Linked DNA regions of Sus scrofa. The protein of the gene in region 1 interacts with the protein of each later gene in a pairwise test. Links are inferred from orthologs where the notes say so. Each region holds a gene or a part of one and is shown on either strand. Other genes may lie near its edges. The genes, in order: LSMEM2 and LSMEM1.

Region 1 (4,281 bases):
GGGCATTTGGCTCCTAAGCACCTAACACCAACTGAAGAATGATCCCTGATTTGGAGCCAAAACAACCCCTTTCGCCCCCAGTAATAGCAGGTGCAGTTGACTGGGAGGACTAAACCCACAACCCATGAAATTCATTCCTGCCTTTTCTGCTGTCAGTTTTCCCTGTACACCCTATGCCTGGGTCTCTTCATTGTCCCCAGCAGCAGCAGCCCCATTCTAGGCAGCCTTGTGCCTTTCCCTCCCAGCCTCACTCTGCCCCCTTTAGATGTACTCAGCATGATTCTGCTCTGTTTCTGGGAACGCTACTGTTTTTCACTTAACATCGCACAGGAGACCGGCCTTTGTTATCAAACTGTTCCGCTTGCCTCTGAGGTCTCCCCTCAGGCATCCCTTCTAGGCTGCCTGGGCATTTCGGTTGTTTCCAATAAACCCTAGAAAAGGACATGCATGATAGTATAAAGATTTCCCCAATTTCCCCATAGTTATTAACGACAGATTCCCAGAAGTAGGATTACTGGATCCAAGACAGGGACTTTTTCTTTTAGGCTATTACCAAAGCGACCTCAGGAATGGCTGTCCACAGCCACCCAAAGAGTACAATATTGCCACCATTAGGCATCTCCACTGAAAAAAGTTTAATATACCTAAGTGCACACATATATTTGCTAAGTTGGGAAATGAGGAAAGGCTTTTCTTGACCAATTTGGTTGGTTTTCTTTGCTTGGGGAGCCTGACCAATATGTGTGTGGCTTCCTAGTTCACAGCCTCTGCCCATGTAGTCACTGCAATCTGTGTACTTTTTCTGTAATTTTAATTATTTTCAGACCCAGTGGAGTGTTTGTTTTGTGATTTCTAAACATTGTATTCTGGGGTTTTTTGTGTTTTTTTTTTTTTCCCCCTCCTTTAAATCTTGGCCCCTTGAGATCTTCAGATGTCAAATGGAGGGACACTGCAGGGATACCTCCTGACACAGGCAAGGGTGACTGGACTCTGGGCCTATCACTTTCAGTACAGTACCTCAACCTTTGTGATTTGCTTCAAACGGGCCTCTGCCATGCTCAAAAGAAAGTGAAACAGGAGTTCCCATTGTGGCTCGGTAGTTAATGAACCTGAATAGGATCCATGAAGATGTGGATTTGATCCCTGGCTTCGCTCAGTGGGTTAAGGATCCAGCGTTGCCGTGAGCTGTGGTGTATGTCGCAGATGCAACTTGGCTCCCGAGTTGCTGTGGCTGTGATGTAGGCCGGCAGCTTCAGCCCCAATTTGACCCCTAGCCTGGGAACCTTCATATGCTGTGGATGTGGCCCCAAGAAGACAAAAGACCAAAAAAAAAAAAAAGTGAAACAAAAACAGGTACTGGCTGTCATTATGACTGGGTGATGGTAGTTTGAGGTTCATATTAAATTCCCTCTTTGCACTTGGCTGTGCTTTTCACACACTTTAAACTGAACTTGGATTCTGTTACCAGGAAAAACCCTAGTAAATGTTATTGTTAAGACGCCCCCACACCCGGGGCCAGGCCCCTCCCATCCAGTATAAAATGCTGAAAATGTGATGGGAGGAGTGATTAGATCAGGCTGGAGCCTTGGAGCAGCACTGTATCTGAAGCTTCCCAAGTCAATGCTCTTGTCCCTCCAACCCTCCATCCCTCTTGAATACAGTGGGGCAATGAGTGGTAGCCACCAAAGTCTTAACTAGAAGTCAGACAGGCCAGGCCAAGGGACCCCAACTTTTTAGCCCACATTTCAGGCTAGAATCCTATACACTCCCAGTCCCTGGGCCATGCACCCAAACGCTATCCAAAACCATTGCCCACCCCCAATCCCAGTGTCCTCCCCGAAGGAAGAACTGCACTGGCCAGACTGCCTGGCCCACTTAAGCACAGGCTCTGGTTTACTCTTCCCCCAAGTGGGGAAGCTCCTCTAAGCACCCCCTGCAGTCCCTTGCAGGAGGAATAGGCCTGAGCTGAAGAGGCTTTCCAGACTCAGTAAGCCGTTCCTTCATGCGCAGCGGGGGCAGGTCTCTCTTCTGGGATATAGTGATTAATGACGAGTCAAGAAAATGAGGTCAGTGGGACAGAGGCCAGGTTTCTCCATGGTCCACAGAGTCAGAGGATTGGGGCCTTACCCTCCCTTCAAGTTATTTTCCTACCTTCTTGGGTTCCTTCGGGCATGGTGGGTGGGTGGGCAGCCAGGAGCCGATGAGCGTGCCCAGTAGCAGGACAGGAGGGAGTAGAAGTGGCTCCTATGACCCCGGAGAAGGCCTGGCCACCTCCCAGCCTGCACTGAAAATAGAACTGAGCTCAGCCCACTGGGCTATATTTAGAGGGGGCAACACCATGGGAAGGGGCGGAGTGACCCACATAGACCAGCCTGGACTCTGCCTGGTGCTGGAGCCCAGGGGAGGATGTACCTCAACGAGGGCCTGGGGCCACGGTCTTTCCCAGGACACCCTGCTACTCACACGTGCAGGGACATGGAGCCTTCAGCCGAACAAACCTCCTCATACCTCCAGTGATGTCCCCCATGGTAACCAAGACATTGAATGGACTCCTGTGCACAAGAAAATACCTGGGCTAAAACCAGTGTGCCTTTTATCAGAAGGAGGCAAAGACACCCCTAAACCACACAGAGAGCCCAGTGGCCACCAATCCACACCACCACATGGCTCAAGCAGGGGTAACACTCGGAAGGTCACAAGCACACAGGCCAGGATGGGACAGTATATTTCTCGTCTGTCAGAAGCAATGAAAAGGTGGATGGCAAAGCCTAGATTCTGACAAGGTCCCAGAAGTGACGCAGAACCCAAAGAGGGAAACCCAGCAGTCTTCCTGAGCCGGGTGACAGGCATTCAGGAAGGGCACCAATTAAGACCCTGAGTCTGCACAAGGGACATCGCCCTTAGCCCTGCATTTGACCACCCAGTCTGCTCCCGCGCTCAGGAGAAAGTTACAAAAGCTTGAGGCTGGGCCCCAAACCCCGCTGTCAGCCTTGGTAGAGGAGGCCTTCAAGGTCCATCCTCAGCAGTGAGACTTAACAGAGGCCAGTGAAGAAAACACGGCTTTGGGCTGCTGTGATTGACCCACTGTGTCGTCGAGGGGACCCTAAAGGGCTGACAAACCCAGGCAGACAGCCTAGGAGCCACCTGGGGGGAAACCAGTGTGCCTTTTGTCAGAAGGAGGGGGGGGCCTGTTGCAAGCTCCCTCTTGTGGGCAACAAAGAAACAACCCTAAGCAGCCCGAGTTCCTGGTGAAATTGGGGTGAGATACCATCACACAGAGGGACCTACAGACCAAATGATCAACCAACATGCCCCAAGGACCTGGTGGGCTCCAGATCCTAAGACAATGCATCCTCATTGCTCCAAGGGAGCCTCGAGTCACCCTTGACATTGCAGGCAGGAAAATGACTTTCTTTCCCTTTTTTTTTTTTTTTAGGAGTCACACCTACAGCATAAGGAAGTTCCCAGGCTAGGGGTGGAATAGGGACAATGACAAGAAAACTCACTTAACATTTCCAAAATCATATTCAAAGAGGAATATTTACAAGAATGCTGGCCATGCCATCAACAGTCCCAGCTGGCTAGTAGCCTTTCTCTTGCATTTCACCTGAACCTACAATTTCCGATGACTACCTAAATCACTACTCCCTTGACCTCTGCTAGGCACACTCGCACCTTCCAGGGGGCTATCCCAGGGCTTTTACCTGACTCCCCCATACAATGGGACCCAAGGCATGGGGCACACTAAGTTAAATTCCACAAATGGCATTTGTTTCACACACCCCCAATGCACTCCCGCCCCCAGGTATAATTATATCAGCTGTTCTGCTTCTTATACAACAATACGCTGTACTTACAACCTCACCCATGTGTGCTGTTTCAAATAAGGAAATTTTCCATCTCCTTGAAATCAAATTCAACCCACTTGTGGGATACGGAACAAATAGTGAGCTGACTTTCCCGCCTCTGCTCTCTGACAAAATCATACTGGAGCATTTTTATTAAGACTTTTATGACATCATATGGTCTAAACGACCAAAAGAATGGTTTCTTTTCCCCGAGTTGCACACATACTAGCAATAGCTTTGTTCTTCAAGGACTCCCAGCTCCAAATAACCATGAGGCAGACATTCACTTCTGCACCTCTGAAGGGCTTTGTTCTGCAGACACCCAAACCACCCTGTGTTATGGAATTATAGCCAGAGCCTGACCTTTTTCAATCAACCTATGGCCTCTAACTGCAGTGATGATGTCCCCTTCACAGGAGAGGGAACTAGAGGG
Region 2 (4,249 bases), on another chromosome or scaffold:
GATTTTACTCCTGGCCTGGGAACTTCCATATGCCACAGGTACAGCCCTAAAAAGAAAAACAAAAGTGTTTAAAGCCCCCATTTGTGATCTTCTGGCACTGTGGGCTTGTCTGCAACCTGTCCCAGAGCAGCAGGGTATCCTGGGCGTGTGTTGGCACTCCCCTGTCCTTCAGTGTGAGCCCTGATGCCAAGAAGCCTTGCCTTGTTGCAGGAGCAAAGTCAAACACCAGCTACGAAGGGCACGGCCGTGATGAGAAACATCTCCAAGGGACTTACCTATTAGGAATATCACGAAGGAAACCAGCGCCAGGCTGACAATCAGCACAATTATCAGCCCCACCAAAAACAGCCCGTGGCTTCCATTTCCTGAGTTACTGCTGTCGGCTGGGATTTTCTCCTCCAGAGCTAAGGCAAAAACAAACAGCAACAAAGACAAAAACTCCTCAGCAGACAGCTTCACAGGGAACTGAACAGTCCCCAGCATTAGAGGCATGCGTGAGAGATATGTCCATTTTGCCCTCTGATCACTCTAGAAAGAGACTTGTTTTAGGAATGTCTTTGGGCCGGGTGGTCTTTGAGAATTTTTCATGCTCTTCTCTATTAGTATTCAAAGAACAAGCCGAGTCCAGTTGTCTCCTTAACCCCTACTGGGAAAATTCTTTGCAGATCATGTTAACAACTGACGTAGCAGGACATGGATTGTTCTTTTGGAAGGTGGGTGAGGGGGATAAAGAAAGGTCAAGGTGATGGAGGCGCTATTGCCCTTTTCCCAAAATGATCCAGGAGTTACACAAAGCTGGCTGTGGGCCACTTACTCCAGGTGACATGCTGAAGGCGCTGAGATATCTCCCAGAAAACTTTGTTTCCTATTAAAAAAAATAACCTATTATGGGGAGTTGCTGTTGTGGCTTGGCAGGTTAAGAACCCGACAGAGTGTCCATGAGGATGTGGGTTCGATCCCTGGCCTTGCTCAGTGGGTCATGGATCCAGCACTGCCGTGACCGTGGCTGTGATGTAGGCCAGCAACTGCGGCTCCAATGTGACTCCTCGCGTGGGAACTTCCATATGCGGCAGATGCAGCAGCCAAGGAAAGAAAAGAAATAAAATAACCTGTAATGCCTACATTCATTTAAATAACAATAACAAAATACCCTGATATACTTTGGTTTCTTAAAACTGTTTTCAGGATGGACACGCTCGGAAAGCAAGGTTTTCTTAAATGTTGTGCAGCTGAACTGAGAAGGCAACCAAGCGTATAAACCAGTTCGGTTCACCCAAACCATGAATTGTCTGCACTTGGTCACCATTTTGTAAGACCTATTTGCCTAATAATACCCAAATTAAATTGAAAAAGAGATACAGAAACTGGATTACCTTCCATATTCTCTCCTACTTTATATCAGCCCACAGCCTCTGCTACTTGATTATGGACAGATGGGTGGTGTAGGTCCCACACTTTTCAGGGGCATCTTATGTCACAGCCTCCACAGCCTTTGCTTCCTAATCAAAGCCTTGGCACAGGCCAGCACCCAAACCCCTATGCTTATTGAGACCGACTGCAGTGAAAACAAGCGAAAGTCTGAACAAATCAAAATGAAGAGAAAAACAAGAATTCAAAAAAGATTTAGGGAGTTCCCATCGTGGCTCAGTGGTTAACGAATCCAACTAGGAACCATGAGGTTGCAGGTTTGATCCCCAGCCTCGCTTAGTGGGTTAAAGATCCAGTGTAGGTCCCAGACGCGGCTCGGATCCCGAGTTGCTGTGGCTGTGGCATAGGCCGGCAGCTATAATTCTGATTGGACCCCAAGCCTGGGAACCTCCATATACCTCTGGTGCAGCCCTAGAAAAGACAAAAAGACCAAAAAAAAAAATTATTTAGAAGGGGAATAATAGATATAAATTGAGAGAGTAAGAGTTTAAGAGTGTACGCGAAACAAACCAAGGGGGCATTTATCACCTGTGCTGGAAAGTCAGCACTGAAGCTAGAAAAGATGGGGTTCTAATAATCTTAGAACTCATTTGTAATACTTAAGGGACAAGACATACATTTATAGTTTGTTGGGTTTTGGGGGGGCGGGAGCACGCCCACAGCATGCAAGCATTCCAGAGATCAAACTTGAGCCACAGCAGTGACAATGCTAAATCTTTAAACACTAAGCCACAAGGGAACTCCCACATTAAGTTATTTGGTACTTAACAGATTTTCATTTTAGTCTCCCCCTCTTTTTTCTAATACTTTAATTGGGGCAATCTTCGAATTAAAAAAAAAAAAAAAAGTTGACTCTTTTGCCCAAAAAACTAATGATTTTTTCAAAAACTAGGTAAACGCGTGGAACATTTTCTCAGCAATCCGCTCCGAGTAAGACCTCTCTAGGAAAGCGGGCACCACAGGTGACCTGCCTGTGGTCACTAGAAGGCACGAAAGCAGCCAGGAGGATGAGTGAGCCTCTGGGGGCCCATCTCGGGAGCCTCCACCCCTTTCCAGGGGGAGAAAGGCCACAGGGACTTTTCGGGACTTTTGCAGACAAGAGTTCAAATCTTGCCAAGAGCCAAGAAAGCCCATAAGCCTGGCAAGCATTCAGAAAACAAAAGCACAAATTGCCTAATACGAAACAGCATTTCTAACGCGGAGCCGTCCTAATGCCCACCCAGCCCCCACCACGCCCACAGGTCTGGCTGGACGGTGGCTATTTTTAGGTGGCCTAGAAGCCAGGACGGGCCGCCAAGCCTGGGAGGGCTCACGTACGGAACAGATGCTGCGATCCGGCAGGACAGAGGTTTAGTCTGTTTAGGTCATTTATGGAATCCACAACGTAAAGCTTTCTTTCTTCAGGAAGGCCGCGAGAGCCGGTGTCCTGGGAAGAACGATTCATTGTCCCCGGAAGAAAACGCGGACCTTAAACGCAGGACGCTGGGCTGGGGAGCTGGACTTGGCCAGGATCACAGCCCACAGGAAGCTGGGCAGGCACTTGAAGAACCACCCACACGAATTACTTCCCAATGAAGGGCCAGAAAAGCTTTGCTTGTCCAAAAGAAAATACTCCCTTGTGGGGGCAACTCTTGTTTTTGCTTTGCTTGCCAGGAAGCTCAGCGTCTGCCGTGGGCCCCATTTTAATGCTTTAATACTCTGCTTACATGCATATGTGCTTTCCTCTTCAGATTTCTCACTTCTGCCTATATTTCCCTTGGGTCTCTTTTTTAATTTTGTAATTGACTTTTCAATATTTCTCTTTTATCACATTGTTCATACGCTAGTGAGATGCCTCAAATCTTGTGTGCAAGACGACTATGCATAAACACCCAGAAAGACAAAATTAAGTGAGGCAGCCTGTGGCCATAAAGATGCTGAGGGGAGAAAATATTACTGAGAACCGTTCTAACTGATGAGGCTTTAATACAAAACTGTACTTTTGTGCAGTATAAAGGTCTAGAAGCCAGTGACTTATGTTAAGGTGGAACACATAAAATATTTTATTTAGGGTTTAAATCTTCCTATTTCCAAAAGAATTGGAGGCAGTTAATAGTACACTGACAAATAAAATTGAGGTAAAGAGCCTCATGTGATATCTAGATCTTAGTAAAAGCAATGTAATAAACTTCATACCTGCCTTTAATGTGACAACACACTATTTATTTACTTCCTTTAACATTTTTAAAATTTCCTTTAATACACAGCTACAGAATAAACAGAAATATGACCAGAGTTAGGAGAAACCAAATACAGAAATAAAAAAATAAGAACACCTATAGAAGATCTGAAAAAAAAAAAATCAGCCATTTACTAAACAGACTAAACTGCACTCTAAAATATTAAAACTCAGGAGTTCCCATTGTGGCTAAGCAGTTAACGAATCTGACTAGCATCCATGAGGACGCAGGTTCGATTCCGGGTCTTGTTCAGTGGGTTAAGGATCCAGTGTTGCAGTGAGCTGTGGTATAGGTCGAAATCAGGACTGGGATCCCGAGTTGCTGTGGCTGTGGTGTAGACTGACAGCTACAGTTCCCATTCAGCCCCTAGCCTGGGAACTTCCATATGCCATGGGTGCAGCCCTAAAAAGACAATAAATAAACAAACAAACAAATAAAATCTTGAAACTCAGCAATTTCCCAGTAAAACCTAAAACCTACTAGCATGTGTAAAAAATATGCTTCCAGAACCCTAAGAAAATGTGAGTTCAAAAAGTAATGAACTAGTTAATTTTTTTCAAAGTTAAAAAAAAAATTTTAAAGGGTGTTTCAGTTCTTCAGAA

The links.
Region 2: the proteins of LSMEM2 (region 1) and LSMEM1 interact in binary tests that used the Homo sapiens proteins (3 or more experiments, as listed by UniProt). The two-hybrid records come from large-scale screens. The link is inferred for Sus scrofa from reciprocal best matches to the Homo sapiens genes LSMEM2 and LSMEM1.

The regions. Positions count from the first base shown.
Region 1 is NC_010455.5:32,751,157-32,755,437, reverse strand, and holds the start of LSMEM2 (leucine-rich single-pass membrane protein 2), read right to left. Parts: upstream 2,914-4,281; 5' UTR 2,528-2,913; coding exon of another isoform or gene 2,478-2,527; coding exon 2,464-2,477; intron 2,285-2,463; coding exon of another isoform or gene 2,280-2,284; coding exon 2,152-2,279; intron 1-2,151.
Region 2 is NC_010460.4:33,187,898-33,192,146, forward strand, and holds the start of LSMEM1 (leucine-rich single-pass membrane protein 1), read right to left. Parts: upstream 3,014-4,249; 5' UTR 2,873-3,013; coding exon 2,746-2,872; intron 405-2,745; coding exon 276-404; intron 1-275.